Linked DNA regions of Neodiprion lecontei. The protein of the gene in region 4 binds, or shares a complex with, the protein of the main gene of each other region. Links are inferred from orthologs where the notes say so. Each region holds a gene or a part of one and is shown on either strand. Other genes may lie near its edges.

Evidence for each region.
Region 1: GATOR complex protein Iml1 (region 4) and nucleoporin SEH1-A share a complex: the UniProt entries of both Drosophila melanogaster proteins name them as parts of the GATOR complex. The link is inferred for Neodiprion lecontei from reciprocal best matches to the Drosophila melanogaster genes Iml1 and Nup44A.
Region 2: GATOR complex protein Iml1 (region 4) and GATOR complex protein NPRL2 share a complex: the UniProt entries of both Drosophila melanogaster proteins name them as parts of the GATOR complex. The link is inferred for Neodiprion lecontei from reciprocal best matches to the Drosophila melanogaster genes Iml1 and Nprl2.
Region 3: GATOR complex protein Iml1 (region 4) and GATOR complex protein MIOS share a complex: the UniProt entries of both Drosophila melanogaster proteins name them as parts of the GATOR complex. The link is inferred for Neodiprion lecontei from reciprocal best matches to the Drosophila melanogaster genes Iml1 and mio.

What each region holds. Positions count from the first base shown.
Region 1 is NC_060260.1:39,269,461-39,275,442, forward strand, and holds nucleoporin SEH1-A, read left to right. Parts: upstream 1-1,644; 5' UTR 1,645-1,818; coding exon 1,819-1,929; intron 1,930-2,096; coding exon 2,097-2,253; intron 2,254-2,329; coding exon 2,330-2,591; intron 2,592-2,679; coding exon 2,680-2,913; intron 2,914-3,026; coding exon 3,027-3,317; coding exon of another isoform or gene 3,318-3,369; exon of another isoform or gene 3,370-3,884; intron 3,885-4,194; coding exon 4,195-4,372; 3' UTR 4,373-5,462; downstream 5,463-5,982. Other genes in the region: anillin-like protein 1, read right to left, coding at 1-113, 282-311. UniProt on the Drosophila melanogaster protein: Probable component of the nuclear pore complex (NPC). Involved in maintaining the localization of another nucleoporin Mgtor to the nuclear envelope of early meiotic female germline cells.
Region 2 is NC_060264.1:242,688-247,726, forward strand, and holds the start of GATOR complex protein NPRL2, read left to right. Parts: upstream 1-2,032; 5' UTR 2,033-2,157; intron 2,158-2,235; exon of another isoform or gene 2,236-3,079; coding exon of another isoform or gene 3,080-3,346; intron 3,347-3,458; coding exon of another isoform or gene 3,459-3,755; intron 3,756-3,876; coding exon of another isoform or gene 3,877-4,085; intron 4,086-4,183; coding exon of another isoform or gene 4,184-4,478; exon of another isoform or gene 4,479-4,858; intron 4,859-5,039. Other genes in the region: putative nuclease HARBI1, read left to right, coding at 3,080-3,346, 3,459-3,755, 3,877-4,085, 4,184-4,478. UniProt on the Drosophila melanogaster protein: An essential component of the GATOR subcomplex GATOR1 which functions as an inhibitor of the amino acid-sensing branch of the TORC1 signaling pathway.
Region 3 is NC_060261.1:40,160,271-40,167,521, forward strand, and holds GATOR complex protein MIOS, read left to right. Parts: upstream 1-1,988; 5' UTR 1,989-2,358; coding exon 2,359-2,479; intron 2,480-2,583; coding exon 2,584-2,781; intron 2,782-2,904; coding exon 2,905-3,195; intron 3,196-3,313; coding exon 3,314-3,541; intron 3,542-3,642; coding exon 3,643-3,804; intron 3,805-4,009; coding exon 4,010-4,191; intron 4,192-4,312; coding exon 4,313-4,446; intron 4,447-4,519; coding exon 4,520-4,633; intron 4,634-4,816; coding exon 4,817-5,183; intron 5,184-5,334; coding exon 5,335-5,473; intron 5,474-5,552; coding exon 5,553-5,691; intron 5,692-5,781; coding exon 5,782-5,989; intron 5,990-6,075; coding exon 6,076-6,284; intron 6,285-6,320; exon of another isoform or gene 6,321-6,467; coding exon 6,468-6,555; 3' UTR 6,556-6,739; downstream 6,740-7,251. Other genes in the region: ras-related protein Ral-a, read right to left, coding at 650-754; replication protein A 14 kDa subunit, read right to left, coding at 6,792-6,880, 7,052-7,238. UniProt on the Drosophila melanogaster protein: An essential component of the GATOR subcomplex GATOR2 which functions as an activator of the amino acid-sensing branch of the mTORC1 signaling pathway.
Region 4 is NC_060263.1:5,519,307-5,523,957, reverse strand, and holds the start of GATOR complex protein Iml1, read left to right. Parts: upstream 1-1,622; 5' UTR 1,623-1,924; coding exon 1,925-2,275; intron 2,276-2,375; coding exon 2,376-2,501; intron 2,502-2,660; coding exon 2,661-2,944; intron 2,945-3,012; coding exon 3,013-3,200; intron 3,201-3,342; coding exon 3,343-3,539; intron 3,540-3,635; coding exon 3,636-3,919; intron 3,920-4,025; coding exon 4,026-4,255; intron 4,256-4,315; coding exon 4,316-4,531; intron 4,532-4,601; coding exon 4,602-4,651. Other genes in the region: rRNA methyltransferase 3, mitochondrial, read right to left, coding at 1-175, 271-426, 499-740, 838-1,199. UniProt on the Drosophila melanogaster protein: An essential component of the GATOR subcomplex GATOR1 which functions as an inhibitor of the amino acid-sensing branch of the TORC1 signaling pathway.

The DNA.
Region 1 (5,982 bases), on a different chromosome or scaffold from region 4:
GCAGGCTTGTCATTAATGGCTCGCAAAATACTCATTTTTCTCTGCAGTTGATCTGGACTGCAATGTAAGCTCTCCTCTCGAAATTGACGCATGCTGGCGCGTTGCAGCATGCGCTAAGAACGATATTTGATTAGAAAATAACTAGGTGTAACGATCTCGAAAGAGCCCACCATGATTTATTCGAATTCAACGAGGACGTGCGATTGCTATGACCCTTCGGTCTCAGCATTAGGCTTTCGACTACTCTTTGATAGTGTGCGGTTACTTTTGATTCTACATACCCGCGTGAACGGATCCTGTGTCGAGTCCATCCCAGACGAAACAACAACGCAACAGCGAAACACTCTTCACCGAGGATCACCAAAGAATGGTAAATTGTCTTGAAAATGCGGCAGCTCTCAGCGTTAGCGGAGTAGTTTTATTTGCACGAGCGAAATACTCTAGGAAGATAAGGAGAATAACCTCGCTAGGCCCCATGAGTCAACCGTCATCCCCTCAAGTTCAAATACATTTATTGGTATTCGAAGAGTACACTATTACGTGTAGATATAACCAAAACACGCTGCTGTATGTCAACATGCGTTAGAGGTAGATCTGGTACTATTGTGCAACACTGACCGCGAAATATGACACATGGACTGTAGCAGTTTGTGAAAACTTTTTAGAATGAATCAGTTCTTAACGATGAATGAAAAAATTTTTTTTGTTGTACAGATATTCATAAGTGAACGTGTATTTTTTCAACGAATCTCAGTGTGAAGTAATTATTTGGAATATTTATGAACAACTCGTATTATACTCAAGTCGCTGTATATAACATGAATTTTAGTGAATGTTACTTTCGAATTAAATTATTTAATTACCTTTCTCTGGTTCGATTCGGAGTCTTTGAAGAATCGAATTGACCAACTAGCCTGATAATTCCCTGATTTTGCATTTATATTCATAATAATTTTCCATGTCTCTATACAAGTGCATTTGTTGTGATGATTCAGAACTACGATGTTAGTCATAAATTATTGGTTTATTTTCTTTAGTCCGTATATGATATTGTGATATTGGAACTACAAAAGAATACGAGTTTAAGTGTTGATATCGAGCCAATACAACTTACTGATTTTACACGTTGGAGCAAACTAATTGAAAATATATTTTCCATCGTCGATGAATACAAAATCCATTTCAATTCATCATATTGAATCAACCATCTTCATTTTGCTCCTATATTTGAAAAGGCTTACTTTGATTTTGGAATCAATAGTCCGAAAAATCTTGAACCACTGTTCAAGACAATTACGTGAACAGAGAAATGTATGTTTTGTAAGAATAGCCGAATGAACAGTTTTATCGGAATTTACTAAATATTCGATTTAGCCGATAGATGAAAACAAGAGATTAACAAAGCTTCGAAAGTTTTTTCAAGTACTCATTTCTGGTTTATCTTTGAATCGAGCTGTTGGTAGAGCTAAAAAATTGTTTTAGATGGAAGTAACAAATTTTTTAAGTAAATGTTTCATGCGGACGTGTAATTTTGTGTTGCGCCTGCATATAGGCAACTGCGAGTATAAATCTCTGAAATGAAGGGCGGGTAACTGATTCGCGTAAAGCTAGGCGAAAGTATCCCATCTCAACTTGGCGTATTCTATCACGATCCTAACCTCAATCTTAAGTTTTCCTCATCCGAAATCATAACCTGTAATCTTAAAACTAGTTTTCCGTTGGAATAGGAGTAGAGTTGCAAGTACGCCAGAGGCGGAAAAAACAGCGGCGTGGTTTGTTAATATTAAATCCAAGTGATTGTTGATGATAGAGTAGAAAATGTTTGAAGCCCATAGTATAAATGCCGAACACAAGGACCTGATACATGACATAGCTTACGATTTTTATGGCCAACGCATGGCAACATGTTCCAGCGACCAGTTTGTCAAAGTGAGTAGAGCTTCCAACCGAATTTCGAATTTCTCGCTCATTTCACGCATATTCTCAACTTCATTCGCATAATCACATATTTTCTTCTCTACTCCTTCACTTTGCCAAAATTGATATTACAGCAGTATTCTCGTTCACGCTTTCATTTTGTTATGTTTTTTTCTTAGGTTTGGGACGAGGACGAACACGATAACTGGCACTTGACAGCATCATGGAAAGCACACAGCGGATCTGTGTGGAAAGTAACCTGGGCGCATCCCGAGTTTGGTCAGGTTTTGGCGACGTGTTCATTTGATAGAACTGCAGCGGTCTGGGAAGAAATTGGTATAAATTTCTGATCTTGGATTGGAAAACGATAAGCAGCAGAGCATTTGTATTGATTGTACGAATCAAATTTCAGTTGGCGAAGGTTCAGGCTCCGGTGAACGAGGGATGCGACATTGGGTGCGGCGGACCAACTTGGTCGACTCTCGGACGTCAGTAACAGATGTTAAGTTTGCGCCAAAGACTCTCGGTCTTCTCCTTGCGACCTGTAGCGCGGATGGAGTGATCAGAATTTACGAAGCACCAGATGTGATGAACCTGAGCCAGTGGACTCTGCAGCATGAAATTAGCTGTAAACTTCCATGCAGTTGTTTAACATGGAATCCTTCATTGTCGCGGTATATATAGTCAAAATTTTCTTCAATATTGCTGGAACTGAACACCTAAAAAATAAGGGGAAGTGCAGTGCTTTTCCTTTTTTTTCAGGCTCCACCCACCTATGCTCGCAGTTGGCAGCGACGACTCGAATGCATCAAGTGGCGGCAAGGTCTTCATATACGAATACTCAGAAAACAATAGACGGTGGACAAAAACAGAGACATTATCCAACGTCGTTGACCCCGTGCACGATATTGCATTCGCACCCAACTTGGGACGTAGTTTTCACACTTTAGCGATAGCCACCAAAGATGTACGGATTGTAACGCTAAAACCAATGCAGTAAGTTTCGCTAAAAGTGGGAAGAAATTGTTTTTAAGAAAATACTCTCGCATGATGATTGGCATTGAAAAATTCAAAAAAATTGCTCCTCAAGTGTTCTTTTTTCTCCTCAGAGATGCGGCTCAAAGCGGTTTGTCTCGGTTTGAAATTACGACTGCTGCCCAATTTGATGATCACTATTGTACGGTGTGGCGAGTGTGCTGGAACATAATGGGAACCATATTAGCGAGTTCAGGAGATGACGGCTGCGTTCGTTTATGGAAAGATAATTACGTGAATAATTGGAAATGTGTAGCAGTTTTGAAGGGAGATGGAACCTCGGCTCACAGTGCCGAAATTCCACAGATAGCAACACCTCCGAGTCACTCGATCTCAGGAACTCAGGCACCGCTATCCACCACAAGGTACTACAAGCTGGGTTCCATCAGTCATCCTAATCAAGTACCATGGCACTAATTGAGAACGATTAATATTTCCGTTTTGAATTATGTAATATAATTTATACATCATTACTTTTCTCTCACATTTGATCGATTGAGAACAGATTAGCGAGTAACGATTTGTGATCTTAAAATTTTCACCGCTTTACGTAATCATCCTTTCTTTTTCTCGTATCTCCTCATCAATTTTTTAGCAACAGATTTGATCATAAAGAATTGAAGAAATAAATCAATAGTCAATACGTCGTAAAAACGATCTGTTTGGATTAAATCACTTCTGTATTAAAATGGAGAAGTCTCTTTTCTCTTCCCCTTGTTTACGCACAGTTTTACACCAAAGTATTTAATTTATTTGAGATGTATAAAAATATCATTTTACACTTTACGTCAATAAGTTCCTTTACATCAGATCATAATGTCCGTTCTCAGTTTTGGAGCCATGTAAGTTTATCACAATTATTTAGCATTTAATGCATTCGATATTTGTATTGTAATGTGAGCCCAGTTTTTAATAAATATTATTCCTATAGACCCGAGCACCTTTTTATTTTCTCCTGTAACCCATCTTGCAATTTCTTTATTTTTCCTAAAACAGACGGCCAAATTTACTTACATCGAAATTTAGGAACGGGTGAGAGGGATAACATTTATTATAACCGTTGAATGTAAATTAAATCCATGAATTCTACATATCTGCGAATTTAAGACAAGTTACCAAACACTTAAAATCTGGACGAAGTAGGTAACTTACACATTTGAAGTTTAAATTTCAGAAGAAGATTTCAAAGTTTCGTCATTTATGATTCGTTTCATAATTCGATGTATCTTTTTGTCGTTTCAGGAATATATCTATAGCCACGGTTACGGCGGAGAGACCAACGACGACAATATTATCGACTAGTAAGTGGCAAGCCCCTGTAATAAAAGGCCGTTTCAGCAAGTCTGTATGGCTTGGAAATCCAAGCGAACCGTCACTCCCCCCTCCTCCGATCATAGAACGCCCAAAATCGAAGAAGTAAATTTTTAAATGTGTCTTTCGTGCGAGTCATTGATAACTTACTACGTTTGCTAATTAATTGGTCGATTTGACAACGGAGCAGATTAATTATACTTTAGTAAAATTTTACTAATTTATCGACTGATTTATACACGCAGACTGGATTTCTGTCGCCTTAAGAGCTTCGGATAAATGTGATATTTAAAATGATATTATATCATACTTGGTTACGACGATATGAGACAATCGTTATACTTGAAATATCTTTATTGAAACAAATAATACTAATGATAATTTTTTAATTAACTCACCGTACTCGTACGTTAATATTTGACATTTTGAAACAGTATTAGACACTACTGTGTATTTATACTTATTGGAATTTTATACTTTTGTTGCTTAGAAGAAGAAAAAAAAACAGAACAATTCTCATTCGCTGGCAATACAAAATAACAGGATTACAATCGAATAACTCACATGTATATGATAGACAATGATCGCTGCAGGATATATTTGTTGAGTATTTGTTCAAAGTATAATATTGCAGTATTAAGGAAAGCAAAATTTTTTCAATGGCTTTTAGCAGCTGTATAAAAATCGTATAATCATTAGGGTATACCGCATACGGTATTAACTTTTATTTCCTTTCGGTGATACTTTCTTACCTAATACGTATAATTAAACCCATTTTTTATTCATTTAGCTCCAGCGATATTATATTATACTCAGTCGGTTACTTATTTTTTCCATTCAAAAACAACTAAATTCCTATCTTTTCTTGTATAGACATGTTTATGTATATGTATAGGTATATTGTTCAAAAACTCGCGTTGTACTTATAATATGAAAATAAATTTTCTTTGGTATACTCGGTTAGGAAAATATTTGTCATTGTCTCTCGTTCCTTCCGATTCTGTTTTTATTTCACTTTCTTTTTAATGGATTGCCGAAGAACATGACGCAGTTATTCAAACGCTATCAATTTATTCATTTTCTATACCTATGTACACGTGTTCTGCGTCGTTAAATTTTCCATCCTTCCAACACTTGAGTTTCTTCGAGATGAGAAGTGCATACACAATTAATATAGACCTATGTATAATAAATACCGTATAAACAACGTTGGTGAATGTCCAAATGAAATAATATGTAAATTGAGTCAATTTTAGTATTTTTTTTTTTCTTGTCAATTTCATAAATCTTTACAGAATTCAAGCAATAATCTCTATGTACAATTATCAGTTCACGAGCTCGGAAGCAAATTGAAAACACTTGGCATTTCGAATTCAACATTTTTAAATTCTCGTATCTTCTACTCAGATGCTGCCAATCAAAAATTGAATCGCAACTCATGATTTCTATTACCAATATAACAAAGAGAAAAAAAAAAAAAAATGTAGAAAAATATAAAGTTTTTTCCTTAACCATACTTTTGCTCAGACAATTTAATTCGAATTTTCGATGTCTAATTTACTTCCAATATTCTGTATTTTTTTTATTCTAGCTTGAGTTTCTTCACATTATTGCGATGAATAAAAAAAAAACATCATTAGGTCCTGTTTATCCAAACAGGAAGTCACGCTAGACCTACAACAATAGATCAAAGAAAACATCTGTGGTATGCGCTACGGA
Region 2 (5,039 bases), on a different chromosome or scaffold from region 4:
ACGCAGCTACAGCCAGACTCACATCAGTAGTTTGGGTCACCAATTACCGATTAAGTATTGAAATACACCGGACAACGGGCATTCTGTCGCTCTAGTCGAACGAACCGAAGAGGGAGAAATTGTTGGATAAAAGATTTAATTTGGCTTACCTTTTTGAGAGTATTCTGGATGCGATGACTTGTAGATTGGTGAGAGGTCTTAGTGGAATAACTGACTTTAATATTTGGATATTTTGACTAACTTGGTTTATTTTATAAGTTTGATATTTAAAAGTCACAAACGCAGAGTTACACAGTGTAAGATCTTAGACTTAGTAAAAATGGAGTTGAAGCTCGCTGAACTTTTGGGCAGAGTAACGTTGTATGAAAGTTTTAATGCAAAAGGCTAAAGGATTTTACCGCGAGACTGTACCGGAACTAGATGACGAATCTGGAGGTAGAAACACAAGAGAGCGATCGAGTGATCGGTCGCCGTTTTTATAGGGGTCGATCGTTGCGCAGAACGATCCCCCTCTCTAGTTTTTTGGTCGCCTTTGCGCACCTCCCCTCTTTTCTAGGAATTCTAATTAGGGCACGACATCTTCGCCGCATGCACGCCTGTGATCTTAGTTCTTTAGCTATTACTATATTGTAGGTTTTTACGTATGGTATATCGCTGCTTGGTGCGGTGGTGTAGGTGCGTGGACTTTGTTCCGTAGTTCTCTGAACTGCGTGAGCTTTTCGTTGAGGCGCCAGCCCCCTTTGTGGCGCCAGCCCCCTTTGTGGCGCCAGCCCCCTTTGTGGCGCCAGCCCCTTTGTGGCGCCCGTCAGCCACTTAACTACCTGTCTACCTCTGAATGTTTTTGCTATCTTGCTCGTTACAAAGCCCATATTTCATTTTGGTTACCTGTCGTTTGTTAGTTTTATAGTTATATCTATATAGAATTGTATATGTATTATAGTCGACTACTGTCGTTGTTAGTTTTATAGTTGTATCTATATAGAATTGCATATGTATTAAAGTCGACTACTGTCGTTGTTAATCTGGAGTACAATAGCAATTGTTTATGAACATAGTTTGTTATTTGTTTAGCATTATTAGAATCACGCTGCTGCGAATATCTTTAGTTGTTTGTGTTATAACTATCTTAACAGATTTAGGGTACTTAGTAATTTGATGATTCATAGCTTTAGAGCAGGTTTACATGTGTGCTTTTGTATATGATTCCCTTCTGTAGTTGTTAATTCTTATATTGATATAAATCGGCTTGGAAGCTTCTAGAACGTTTTCGTTTCGTCGGTAAGTTTCCTAATGTATTCTCTAGGTGAAGCTCTGTTGGCTCCACATTGGAGATCTGCATTGCCTTCAAAACGTTGCGCGTGTTGCCTACAATACGGCGTTGCGAAAGAAGGTATAGTTCATGCTGGGTAATTAGCATTCACGGTTTGATGGTTTTGCAGTCTCTGGTTTTATGGGTTATTGCAGCAGTGCTATCTTTACATTATATTGGTTATGCATTTATCTATGGTTTTACAGTCTTCTATACTCCAGGCTATATAGTAAAGCGTATGTTGCTTAAGTATAGCTCTCAGCTCCGAATGCACAAATGGCATTGTTGAGTGCTATATAATAATTGGGTATAATTGTGTTAGTTAATTATAGTGTTAATATGATAGTGATATATAATAACGTATAATAGTATTATAGTTCTCTGTGGTACGAAGATCTCGTAACATGGTTTTTAAGCCTTGGCTAGTGAATTTCATAGTTATTTCCATCTAGGGATATTCCAAATAGTTAGACAGTTGTTTTAATTTCTTATGGTTACAAGATTCTCGTACTTCGAGTTTGGTTAGTTGATAAAAGTAACATGCAGTAATAATAGTCGATAAAACATACGGACGTTCCGGTCGGACGTTACACTGGGTTGACACAACTCTCTGCATTCGCTATTTCTCGTGTCAAGTATCACCATCTATGAGTATTACACGCTATTCGTCGATGACTACCGAACTTTGCCTCTAGAGGCGGTAGTGGGGAGGAACCAAAGTAGGTGTGTTCGTCACACACGGAATGCACGTGGTAAAACCACCGTTACAACAAGCACATGGATCTAAATATCGGAACGCACTCGGTGCTGTCGTCAGTCGGATCTAGCAGAATAGGCCAATGAAATTAGTCAGTGTCGTGTTTTGTCAGAAAATTGACGTAAAAGGCAAGCGCTCATTAACTTAGGCCGGTATTCATAGTCAGTGCTTAAGACCGGACTCGAATAAGACGGTCTTATACGAGGCCTTAAGATGGCGTTTGGTTCCATAGACGTCAAACAAGACGGTCTTGAGACGCGGCAAATAAGACGGTCTTCATCAAGTCGGTCTTATTTGAAGCGTGCTTACAAGGTTGCATAGTCCAGTCTTATTTGAAATAAGCATGGTCTTGAGCACGCAACGTTTCATAGTCAATTAACGCAGTCTTATTTACGTATCTTGGGCCGGTATTCATAGTCAGTGCTTAAGACCGGACTCGAATAAGACGGTCTTATACGAGGCCTTAAGATGGCGTTTGGTTCCATAGACGTCAAACAAGACGGTCTTGAGACGCGGCAAATAAGACGGTCTTCATCAAGTCGGTCTTATTCGAAGCGTGCTTACAAGGTTGCATAGTCCAGTCTTATTTGAAATAAGCATGGTCTTGAGCACGCAACGTTTCATAGTCAATTAACGCAGTCTTATTTACGTATCTTGATCAAGTCGAGTTCGGACTGCACTTAAGCAAATGCTTGTTGCCTAAATATTACTCAATTGTTCTGATGCGTACGAAATTGATAATTACGAATTGTTTGGAAAATATTATATTCGAACAATATAAATTAACAGGAATAGATTGTGAAGGAATGTTTGGGAAAGTGCAGCTGGGACGGGATTATTTACTGTAAAAGGGTAGCAACGGAAACTTGCAATTGAAGTAGAGGTTATGAGAGCATTCGCTTTGAAAAATTTGTGAAGTGAAGTGAATAGTGAAATTCTACTGACATGGCGAATATGCAAGATATGTTTAATTTCTACGATCAGATCGAAGAAATGAATAATATGATTGTTCAATGGTCAACGTTGGGCCGAATGACGAAGACGAGGGTGAAGTACAGCGAGCTCCGAAGAGATACATCAGAGATGGTCAAAACCCGTTCGAGTTTTATTCCGAGCAGGAGTTCAAACGGCGATTCCGATTTTCAAAGGATGGTATTATGTACGGAATACTACCTAGAATTGAAGCTGCCTTAGTCAGTGCCAATAATCGTGGTCTACCAATTCCACCTGTCATGCAATTATTAATATGTCTACGATTTTACGCTACCGCTAGCTTTCAAGTAAGGATCATTGTGATTATAATTCCTGATATTCTACTGAAAATATAAAGTGATTTCATTGCTTCCTGTGATCATGGAATAAATGATTGCTAATACATTTTGTACTGTACAGCTCGTCAACGGAGATCTGATGACTATATCGCAGTCTACAGTATCGAGGATAATACACAGAGTATCGGCTCAAATTGCATCATTGATTCACGCAATTATCAAATTTCCTAGTACGGAAGCTGCTATGATCGCAAACAGAGATCTATTCAGACAACTTGGTGCACGCAGGGAGGGTATCGGTTTACCTGGCGTTGATGGCGCTATCGACTGCACTCACATTCGATTATGTCATACGAAATTTGCAGACCTGCAGGAGGTTTATAGGAATCGTAAGGGATATTTTTCCCTCAATGTACAGGTATGTCGCGTTGGTGATAACCGTTTACAAATACCATAAGTTGCAATTAATTTTATCTAGGATACAAATAAACAATACTATTCTATGAAAATCGGTACTTTTAATTTAAATGATACCACAGGCAGTTGTCGGACCCAATATGGAATTCTTGGATGTGGTTCCGGAATGGCCTGGAAGTAACCATGACAGTCAAATATTCCAAAATTCACGAATTTACATGCGGTATCATGAGAGACAACTTACTGGAACCCTGGTTGGAGATGCCGGCTATCCGTGCTTGCCATTTCTGCTGACTCCACTGGCAAATCCAATTACAGATGCTCAACAAAGGTAAGATAAAGATTATCGCATTACTTTAGATTTCGATAAGTAGTCATAAAATTGACAAAGTATACATGTGTGAATTAACCAAGTCGGTATCTTGATAGGTATAACAACGTACAAAGCAGAACAAGGCAAATTGTTGAAAGAACATTTGGAGTTTGGAAGCGACGTTTTCCTTGCCTATCCCGAGGTTTGGGAACCAAATTGTTGTGCTCTACCACAATTGTTGTAGCTTGTGCCGTACTACACAATTTATCACTAACATTGGATAATGCTCTTCCGGAAGATAATCGCATCGAGGAAGAAGAAGCGGATGAATTGCCACTTCAAGCACCGCATTGGCAGCCTGGAGAGGGTTTTGCAATACGCGAAGCTCTAATCGAACGGTTATTCATTTAATCAAAATATATGTATATCAAGTTAATTTAATTGTAAAGACTAATTGATTTTAGAATGAATATACTCCAAATATTTAATAAAATTGAATTTAATCTGTACAAACAGTTAACATTAGAATACATATTTTACTCATAACTTATCATTGGTTCTCATTTTATTTTTAAACCCCTCACTTACTCATGAAAATACTGATATGTACGTAATTGTACTAAGCGTCAGTCTTATAGTTACGATAATACTTATGAAAATTTGTCTACGTAAAAATATTCAGTACATTATAAATACAGCCAGTAAATAGAACTAAAGTTGCTCTTTTGAACTTTGAAGATCAAAGGTTGTCCCTTTCACGCGCATTTTTTTGCAAGTCTGCACCGGGATTCCTTTTAACATATCAATACAATTTATTTATCAGTAACCGGTATAGAGATTTACATAATGATATAGGTTAAAATATGTGTATATAAAAATTATATACACATAAACATACACTATAAAATTCTTTTTCTTCTTCTTCGTTTTATAGCTATACACCCACTACAAAAAATTGTATGCGATTTGTTC
Region 3 (7,251 bases), on a different chromosome or scaffold from region 4:
TATATTGTGCAACAAGATAGGATCATTTGTGCTGTGAAACTATTGATTACTTGCAGTCTATAACAAAAATAGATTATGTTTCAACTTCGTTATTAGCAACTGACAATCACACAATGATTTTGAGGAAATTGGATCATAAGGTCTAAAAGAAATTTATCAACCCTTTTTTGGCCTTTCTTAACACAAAATTATGGGAAAGTGAAAGTGAAAACAAAATTTATACCCTAAAAGATCAAGTAAACAATATCCACAGCTACTTGATTGTTACTTTAAAATATTCCAAACTATTTCCCAGCCGTCAGAAAGCTGGGGTTCATTGCTGGATGGAAAGTTTTCTTATCATGATTGGTACTACTATCATGTTATTCAGAAAAGGACTGCAACGAAGTGTTTGTTACTCTATGCTGACCAACACTCTCAAAAATGTCATTTCAGATAAAGTTCCCGCCAACGTATTCATGTTTGGCATTATAAAAATCGATACAAAACAGTTTCTTTCGATTGTTAAGTTGAATAGTAACCTATTTACATTACACAGTGTTATACATTCGTTCCAAATGACTGAAATCAACTGAACCTTGTACTTCTTCAAATCTAATTAAAGTTTGAATGATAGCCTGATAAGGGGCTGAAGAAATCACCCACATACCTCGTCGTACATGAACTGTAGAGTCAGGGCGGACTTTCCAACACCTCCGCTACCTACCATTATGACCTTATGAAGGGCCTGTGTGGCGCCTGGTTTTTTAGACATTTTTGTATGTGGAATTTATATCTGAAATATTAATATCAGAATGTAAATGACTGAAATTTGCACATTTAATAATATGTAATTGTTGATTGATTACGCGCATGTAGAACAGAATTTCTCATTATCTGGAGGAAAAAACTCAATACTTTATAAGCTACATGAACTACGCCTCCATTACTATAATAGAGATCTGAAAGATATGGAAATCCTATTGTCAGCATGGGAACCATGGGAGTAAGGTGAACAAATGTTTACGTTTCTCGCATGCACTCAACACTCATTATTGTTGTTGTGTTTGATAATTTTTCTACTAATAAATAAAGACTTTACATTTATGTAAAATATGGGAATTTTCTTAATGTTGATTAATTAGGACACTGAAAATTTTCCTGTCTTCTCCTCTGAGATGTAAATGGAAATTTTACCAATTTTATCGCTGTCAATTGTGTAATATTTAACTATGAATATATGTAAAAACAATCAAACCACAACTACGATATTACGACATACTGTTAAATAATGGTCATCTATTAGAAAGTTTACAAATAATACATTGTTGATACGCGTATCTAATCGACTTTAATCTTGACGGAAAAATGAAACATTGTAATGAGGTTTAGTTGTAACAATGTGACATTGTTGTTTGAAAATAGTTACTGCATCAAATTTGTTGAAACCATTATTACGCATTTAACACCAATTAGTACAGACTTGGAAATTACTTCGATCTCACAATAAAACATCAAGATTAAGGGCGTATTCGTAGGATGAATAACCAAAAGGCGTTGCCGCGCTGTCGGGTGCTAGTTACCAGAGGAAGTCAATATTCGTGTTTCATATATGGCAATGTTTCCAATTTATGAAAGTGTACCGTTATTTTACGGATGCAGGTTTAATCGGCGAATCTCTTGGGGGTATGATTGCAAAAATAACAACAGAAAAATGATTAATTACCTTCAAAAATCGGTCAATCGCAAAGCCCGACGTATCGAACGCTCGCATCCGTGATCCGTCACGCGCTGGTTCTTTATCGAGCCGTTAAAGCGCCAACACATGGCGCTGCTGAGTGTTGAAAGTCGTCTGCTTCTGTCACTCGATCTGTCACCGACTCAGTTTCGGTGCTTTCCCAAAATTCAAAGCTATTGATTATCCCACAGAATATGCTCACAGTTAACTACTTTCAGATGTTGTGGTGAAGTAAAATATTTGATTCAAATTTTCTTCACCGCTCTTCACTAGCAGAATTATCACTTTTCGAAAACGACTTTTCGCTTGCGAAATAGTTTCGCGCACGCGCAGATCGCTATTTGGATGCGCTAATGGACAAATACGGCGCAACAAATTGCGTTGAGGCTATGTTGTCCCGAAATCGGTAGATTCACTGTGATTGTTTTTTTACGCTATTTATCGGATTGTTCAAACGTATAATGGAACCAATTTTGGACGTGCAATAGCCGCCACAATTTACTGTCGGAAAACAAATGTTCCGCCGGTGATAGAGGTTTAGTTTTTACATCATTAATTATCGGAGAAACATATTTTACTAATGTAAACAACACGACCTGGTAGTACACGGATTTTAAATTAACCTACAATATTATTTGACAATGAGTAGCGTTAAGTTAGAAGTTCAGTGGTCATCGATACACCCAAATAAATTCATTACTTGGGGCACCGAAATATGTTTATACGAAGTTACCCAAATCAAAGATAGTGTCAGGCCTTCTTGTGAGTAGAGACCCAAAGCCTATTACAAAACACGTATTGTTGTTATTTCTTGAATATCGCTTTGTTGGGTGTTTATATTTTATTAACAAAAGAATTATTTGCAGGTATTAAGATCTCTGACTCTACAGTCGCCCATTTATTGGCAACGAACACAAACCATCACTATGTTAAATGCATTGATATTTACACCCAACCTGAGCCTGACATTCTATTGGCAGTTGGGCAAGCGAATGGTAAAGTTGTACTAACTACTTTTGGCCCAACGGCATTCGACTCTCTTGGACTTACTGGCAAGGAACTTGGTAAATGAAATTCACCAATAATTGTTCTGGAAGTTGTATTCATTTTCTTCTCTTTTTAAGTTATACGGTATAATATTTTAGCTTGCTTTTTTCTTCTAATCATATCCGTGATCACTTTGCTAGCTCCGAGGCATGCAAGGCAATGCAATACGGTTGCATGGAATCCGGTAGACCCAAATTTAATAATTTGTGGCTTGGATAAGCACAGAACGGATTCTTCCGTTTTATTATGGGATGTCCTGAAAAGTCCAACTGGATCGCATCACCACAGTAACATGCAGGCAGAATCTGTCAGACCTATAGCAGAGGCTGGAGTCTCTGAAACAGCACATTCCCTCGCTTGGTTCCTTAACGAACCAAGATGTTTGGTTGTTGGAATCAATAACAAACATTTAAAGATTATTGATTTTCGAGGTAAGACATTATGGTACTGGTGGTTATTAATTAATTTATTGCCAATGAAGGATAATTGGAACTTCTGCCTTTTATTTGTGTTGATTCAAACATCTTTTTGTATTAATCATCTGTTTAGATTGTGTGAAGGTAGTGAACTCAACGCCAACAAAAGCAGTGTACAGTTTGTCAGTAGATCCTCATAACAATTATCACTTAGTTTCCCATATTGAAAATCAAATTCTTATATGGGACACTCGTTACTTTGAAAAACCGATATTAACCCTACCGCAGAGCAGACAAGTGACTAAAGTACTATGGTGTCCTTCAAGGCATAACCTGCTGGGATCTCTGCAGAAAGACTCTGGTACAGTGAGATTTATCATACTTAAATTGCTAAATGAAACAAAGTGGTTCAACTTGTTCATTAATGGTGAAATGTATTTTCATTAATCATTGACCACACAGGATCTTTGCATCTTCACGATGTACAGCATTGTGGGCTTGGTGGCGGCGAGGAAACAGAGCCAGGCGCTTTAGAAAGAACTGTCGCCCCACCATGGTCTAGTCCTACAAGTTTTTCATGGCATCCGACTCACGCGAATAGATTGTTGGCTATATCGCAACAAGGTGTGTGCAGTTGATTTTTTTTTGTTTTCGTATCTCTTACGTATTACCATGGAGTACGAGGGGACGAATTTTCCATACATGGTCGCAAATATAAGTCTATTGTACAGTTTCGTTTTCTTTCAAGCTAGGTGTAATGCTCGATTTAGAACTAATGCAGCTTATAATTATACATCATTACTATTCCTAAGTTATTTGCATATTTCAGGTTTGACGGACTACACTGTTTTTGAAAGAATTACTATCAACTGGTCAACTAAGTCATATCTAGCATGGAACCATGCTTCAAAATCATTCAAATACATTTATAGCACCGACAACATATACAAATCCTTGAACGATATTTCACTGCAAACGAAAAGTCGAGCCATGCGAGACTACGGCCTTCTGGTTAGTATAGGATGATTGTAACATGGACTTGTTAAAACTACAAATCTTCATATAGAACGATTTAAGAGAATTAATTCTGATATATTTAAAATTGTAATAATTAATTATATTTTTCACTAAGGCCGAACTATCGCAAAATGGAGAGCTAGCTGAAAATGAGACCCTGAAAAATTTATGGCAATGGCTGTATTTGAGTCGTTCTTTAGTGGAAGATGGAACAATATGTAGTCCAGACAATAAGCACCCAGGTGTCAGGTAAACTGATATTTTCTTTGGCTTATAGCCGTACTGTTAGATGCTCTGATAATTACTTTGTAACTCTCCATAGAACTGTTCTGAAACTTGATGGACAGCCGACTTCTACTAACGGTTTCATTAAGTCTGAATTAGTGCTTCGACTGTGGGCTGACATTGGGTCAAATCACAGTGCTAAAATATACAGGTAAAGAAAAACCAGGTGTCATAATTCCGAAAATATGAATTATGTGTTTGCTCGATACACTTTAAGCTTATGAAGTACAAAAACAAAAATATTCTTTATCAACGAAATGATTCATCGAACAATATCCTCTATTATGCTAACAATAAGTATCTTTGATTTGCCAAAAATAAATGTTTATCACAGGTCACCTGACCGAGATAAAGCACTTCAATTGTGTGGTTGGAGATTTGATAAAGAAACGAACGCGCCTTATAATAATGCATTTTTGGAAAGACTAGAGAGGGAAGGAGCTTATCCTAGAGCTGCAGCCATCTCTGTTTTCAATCTTGGACTGAGGCAAGCCATAGAAATATTGAATAGAGGGGCGGACAAAATGTCACTAGCAACAAATTTAAATATCGTTGCTATGGCTTTGTCAGGCTTCTCTGAAGATAGAAATAGTATGTGGCGGGAGCTTTGCTTAAAATCTAGATCTCAATTAACTGACCCATATCTCAGAGCAACATTTGCATTCCTCACTGCTGACAATGATTCGTATGAAAATGTTTTGGTGAGTAAAGTAATTTTTACGATTTATTTGTTAGATGACCGTAGAATCTTTTATGATGAATTACTGAATATTTCTCACTGCAAAAATGAAATGGATAGATGTGGAAAAGTTTCATTCGTCTGTAATAATCGTCACTAATCTATGTTTTCAGAATGAGAATGGAATGGCTGTTGAGGATAGAGTGGCATTTGCGCTCATGTTTCTATCTGATAGTAAATTACATGAATATTTCAAAAAATTGACTCAAAAATTAACTGATGACGGTAACTTAGCCGGGATTCTGATTACTGGTTAGTAATTAAACGAGTGTTGAAAATTAATTTCAAAAAACTAAATTTAAAATGCTTTGAACTGTATGTGCCACTTCAGGGGCTAGTTCAGACGGGATACAGTTACTAAATAGGTACTTAGAAATCACTGGTGATGTCCAAAGTTGCAGCCTAATCGCCATTCGAGCTCTGTCACCGAAATTGCTTCAGGACAATCAAGTTCAAGTTTGGATTGCAAGGTAGTCTATCTTGTAGTTAGTAACACGAAGAAAATACGACTTTTTGTTAGAGAATAATGAATCGCCTAACCAGAATCAACTGTTCTGCAGCTATAGAACGCTTTTGGATGCTTGGAAAATGTGGAATCAAAGAGCACATTTTGATATAGCGATGCGAACTTCAACGAATGAGAAACCTCCACAACAAGTATACATATCTTGCAATTTCTGTGGCAAAAGTATTTCGGCTTATATGCAGGGGTTAAGCAGAGCTAGAGGACCATTTGCCAGGCTTGGGAGTACGTCCAACAAATTGAAGGTAAAAGTTTAGTTCACAATTTCGGTGTTTGTGTAATCCCCGTAAATTTCTTGCAAAAACCAACGTGGCTTGTGATTTCTTTGTAGATGTCTTCGTGTCCTAGCTGTCGCAAACCTCTACCCCGCTGTGCGATCTGTCTCATGCACATGGGTACAGCCAGTGGTTTACAAACAGGAGGGACCACACCAAATAGAGGGGAGGAGGATAGTAAACTAACGGAATTTAGTAGTTGGTTTACTTGGTGTCAAACGTGCAGACATGGTGGACACGCCAACCACATCACGCACTGGTTTAGGTGAATTTTTACAATGTAAATTTAGTTGAATTGTTGTACATTGAAAAAATCAGTTTATTCATCAAAATCGGTGAGTGGCACACGTGGTTCCAATCATTTATTACATCGAACAAAATGCATGGAGTGGAATTTTAGAGAGAAAGTTTTTTTTGCATTGCTCTAAACAGACAAATTATATTTCAGAGAGCATTCGGAATGCCCTGTAACATCTTGTACGTGCAGATGCTTTTCACTAGATGCATCTTGCAAGATCGGAGTTGGGGTTGTATAATCTTTCTACCATAATTTTAAATTGTAATAAACGATTATTTAATAGTATTTCGTTCACCAATTATACTTATTTCTTTCACTTAATTATCATTTAGAACATTTCTAAGCCTTAAAGATTGAGCTTCAACTTCAGCGAAGTATACTGAAAAAAGTCAGAATATTCGAATGTGTTGAAGGTGATATACTTGACAGCGAAAAAGAAAATTTATATTAGTAGGGCGTGAGAAAGTTAAAATTTCATAAAATGGTATTCGTTTCAGACATTTTCCATTTGTTGCTACCCAATGTATTGGAGAGTAAGATGAGGTCATTGTACTGTTCCGAGTCTGAAAAAATTTCAACTTATATTCTTTTTTTCAAGTTATGAACAACTAGAGAATTTCCATTGTACTTTTTCAATGCCAAAAGATAAAATAACGTCAAGCAAAATCATATACAATAGCATAGACATACATCAGGAGTAGATTCTAAGAAATGATGTATCTGTGATAATTTACCAAATTTTTCCGTCATCTCATTTGGGAAGCGAACGAAGTTGCTACAGGAGATGGATGACTTAGACTGTACAGTACCATGAACTTCGATGTAACCTTCTAGGTGGCTGTCGATGGGTTCCGAAAGAGAAACTGTGATAATCATATTGTCACTGGTTTTTAACTCCATACTTGTTCCGCTAGGATTTATCTGAAATAAGAGA
Region 4 (4,651 bases):
AGATCCACATTGGACTCTACCGGTGATTCCGAATTGTTGTCAGCAACGAAAATATTCGCATTTTCGCTTATTAAATACTGCACTTCTGACCACGTTTGTGATTTGTATATCGGCACGCGAAAGTGCGCACCTGCAGCTGATCTCAGCACTTTCGGATTCCAAAGATCCACGCAGCCTAAAATTAACAGGTTTAAACATAAAGTGAATTTGAGCACAGCTTCGATTGTAGATTGGAACGAAACAATCAAGTTCATTTCTTCGGGTACGGACCTTTGGTTAAAATTACTCTCTCGCATCCGACTCCAGCCGCAACCCGAAGAATAGCTCCCAAGTTTCCGGGCTCTCTTACATTGTCGCATATCACAGTTATTGGTAACGCATCGGGAGAAGGTTCCTTGTTACTTACATCGGGAGCTACGAATATACCTAAACGAGAATCCCAGATTGTTAGTCGAGCGTTAGCCAGATGAAAACAAAATGGAAGTATTGGCAACTTACCCATAATGCCTGGGGAAACAGTCAAATCTGACCATAGCTGTATCGTTTGATATGGAAGTTTGTAAAGCTTGACACCATCTTTGGGTAGAGATATTTTGGCAATGTCAGATTTTCTGCTGAAGATAATTATCTCAGGCATACATCCGGCTTTTATGGCATCCTCGATCAATCTAAATCCCTCCAGCAGAATTCTGTTGTCATCCTTATCTTTTTTACGCGATCTTACGACTTGCATTAAAGAGCTGTAACGGCGAGTAAATTGTGAATCACAAACAAAGGCTAGAAGATAAAAAGTTATGTCTAAAACGAGATCAAGTCCAGTTGATCCGCAATGCGTACCTTATTATGGGATCGTCCCTGTCGAGTTTAGTGAAAATCGGAGTCCCGTCATTGTTCAACGTGGCACCTTCCCTCTGCTCTTCTTGAATCTTTGCGTTTTCTTTCTTGTCTTCGGCCAGCTTGAGCCGTTGTCGTCGGGCAAATGCAAACTGGGCGGTCTGCAGAATATTTTGAGGAACGGTGTGCTCCTGATCGTTGTACAGATCTTTCTCGTTAACAATTTTTGATGGCTTGCGATGAGTCCACCGACTGTAGCCTTTGACTCGTAAAAACACTTGAGCGCTAATCTGCCGCTGAGTTATTGTACTTTGAAGACACCTCATGGTGCTTTGCATTGTTGTAAACGTAAATGCCATTTTCATAACATGTGTGTGTGTCTTTCTTCTTTTCTACCGCTACACTTTCAGCGTTGATTCTAATAATTAGCTGACCGGTGTTACAATCAGCATTGAAATTATTTGAAAGAGCAACTTCAGTCCGTAATATATCCGGCACTTGTTTTTTGAATGACGCAATCGTAACTCAATTGTTTTTGCCCGTGATATGCAAAACGCCGGTTTTGAGGTTAAGCTGGAGCTCTTGTAGCAACATGCGTGCCGCCACACACCACACCATAAAAATTAAAGGAGCGTATGTGTTTTGCTTTGAAAACAGGTTAGTATCGTGGTTAATATGCAGATTGCGAATTGCGACACGTGACCGGATTCGTGAATCGTAGAGAGCAACAGAGATATTTACGCAAGCGTCGTCGTCAATCGTTCAGTCGGGAGCGTGTGTCGATTGTTTTGACACGTAAAGTGCGCTGTGTGTCGTCCAAGATGAACGTGGAGGTCGCGAAGTGAGCCGCGAGACAATGCTTAGTTAACAGTAGTTCGTTTAGTTTAATATTGTTTCTCAGTTCTGGACTCTGTGATTGCTAATCGCCGGTTTCGACACTCATCTTGGAAGACAATGGATCAATGGATAAATAATGCAGGCTGAAAATATATCCCCCTCGAACATAGCTGTCGATGAGCCTGCGGAGGTCAGGTGACCTCTTAACCCAGTGATAAATTAAACCATCGTTGTTGATGATCAGCAGCTTAAAATGAAGCTGTTCAAGTTGATCGTTCATCAGAAGAACTTTAGTGGGGAGGATTTGATTATAAATCCCAAAGATTATCCGGGAATAAAGAAAGGCGATATCGTTGAGATATTTCATCCGGAAGATGAATTCAGTCGTTTGCTTCTGCAGATCACCGCCTTCAAGGAGGATCTACAAGGCAGAGAAACCGTCAGTGTTGAAAATAACATTGCGACCACTTTTCAACTTAGAACATTCGCTGATGTTTACATGAATATTGTCAATCCCGACGATGTCGCCTTGGATTCTGTCGAGCTTACCTTCAAGGACCAATATATGGGGCGTAGTGAGATGTGGAGATTGAAAAATTGTCTGGTAATTAAAAGTCTGACTCTTTTATTGTGTATCGATAAAGTTTCCCACTAAACAAACTCCCATCTCATCGAACTTTGATTTAAAATCTTAATTTCTCTAGGTCAACACGTGCGTGTATTTAAATAAGAAGATCGAATTCTGCGGAGGAAGCATTAGGTGCCAAGTACACGAAATGTGGTCCCAGGGGGATCGAGTTGCCTGTGGCGTGATAACTGACGATACAAAGGTGAAATATCTGTAACAATTTGCTAAATCTGGCCAAGGATACAATCAAAAAGCTCTTAATTTTATAGCAATAATCGAGCTATTAAACTTGAATTCGACGAATCAATCGACATAGCTTTAACATTGATAACAATGTTCTAAATCATTGTCTTCACAATAGGTGGTCTTCCGTTCGTCGACAAGCATGGTATACCTGTTTATCCAAATGAGTTCCGAAATGTGGGACTTTGATATTCATGGAGACTTGTATTTTGAGAAAGCAGTAAATGGGTTTTTAGCTGATCTTTTTCAAAAGTGGAAGAAAAACGGTAGCAACCATGAAGTGACGATAGTTTTATTCTCACGAACATTTTATAACGCGACAAGCCTTGAAGAATTTCCCAATCACATGAGAGAGTGCTTGCAGCACGATTATCGGGGTAGATTCTACGAAGATTTTTATAGGTAATGCAAATATCAATGGCATCCACCACAAAATGCTCAATCTTAAACATCTCCAACGTGTGTTATAGAGTTGCTGTACAAAATGAGAGATACGAAGACTGGAGCAATATATTAGTTCAATTGCGAAAACTGTTTACCGATTATCAAAAAATTGTCCTCGAATATCACCAACGGCCTGGAATTGTTATGCCAAAAGCCATAAACTCAACAGCTGCTCAAGGGAATTTCTTAGAAGTTCTGAATATGTCCTTGAACGGTGAGCGATAGTTGATACTATTGACTAATAACCTGTAGATGTGTGGAAATTGAATAGCAATTTATTTCTTTCGCAAGAAGTTTATATTACGAAATTATTATGCAATGTGATGTACGATATTGTGATATGCTTTCTTTTTTAGTTTTCGAAAAACACTACCTGGATCGCAGTTTTGATCGAACCGGGCAGCTTTCTGTGGTTATCACTCCGGGGGTTGGAGTATTCGAAGTTGATAGAGAATTGACCAACGTTACTAAACAAAGAATCATTGATAATGGTGTGGGTAGTGACTTGGTTTGCGTGGGAGAACAGCCGCTGCACGCAGTTCCTTTGTTAAAGGTACTGTTCCATTATGTTGAAATCTTGAAACCAGAGTTCTTGTGTTAATTCTATTATCACATAAGAATATTTTATTATAAGACAAAATTCTTGTAGTTCCATAACAAAGATACGTCGATAAATGCTGCAGACGACTACAGCATGCCGCATTGGATAAATCTCAGTTTCTATTCGACAAACAAAAAAATACCTTACTCAACCTTCATACCTCGCATCAAGTTACCACCTAAAATATCAAAACCACCGTCAGAGTGTGGAAAATTGCCAAACAAGACAAAGCTTCTGCAGGAAGATGGCAGCGAATGTCTGCGTAATACACTGTTCGACTATGATGCCTACGATGCTCAGGTTTTCCAGTTACCACCTGTTCATACTGCTAGGTGAAACTATTTTTTTAACAATTAGTTTATAATAATTTAAATTAATTTGAAGACTTGTATTTTGTATTAAACTCGATTTGTTATTTTTTATAAATTTGTAATCTAGCTTGCAGAGAGTATCGACTAGAACAAAGAAAACTAGTGTAGCCTGCATGGAAACGCACAGCAATTCCCAGGCTCTTAAATTGTTGAAAAGAAAGATGTCGGATCCTGATATACATCATCCACCTCCCGATACTCATTCTTCCCCAACGGTTGCCTCCCGCAGTGCAGCAATTTCGATTCCTCATCGAGCGGACGATTTGATAAGTGTCAACTCTAACGGAGAAGTTAATTGTAAGATGGTATAGTTGTTACATGTCAAGTACAGAGCTAAATCGATACAATTTTCCATAGCAAAACCAAGAATATCTTTAATTGATGACCATGGAGATGTGGAGATATCACCTCCGTTCAGACCAGTCGTCGGTAGTGCTGGAAGTCCTACCAATTCCGTTACTCAACCCAACAACATTAGGCCAGGAAGAGCTCTGATCAATCCATTTGACCCGTCTCACGTAACGATAAAGTTGACAAGTAACAGGCGAAGATGGACTCACATTTTTCCGAAAGGTGGAGTATCGCGACTGCATTTACTCCGTAAGTATTTTCTTGCAATAATTTCGCGTGTCATATTTCTCAGGACCTACGGGTGTGCTTATACAACAACACCACTACCAAGCTGTGCCTACG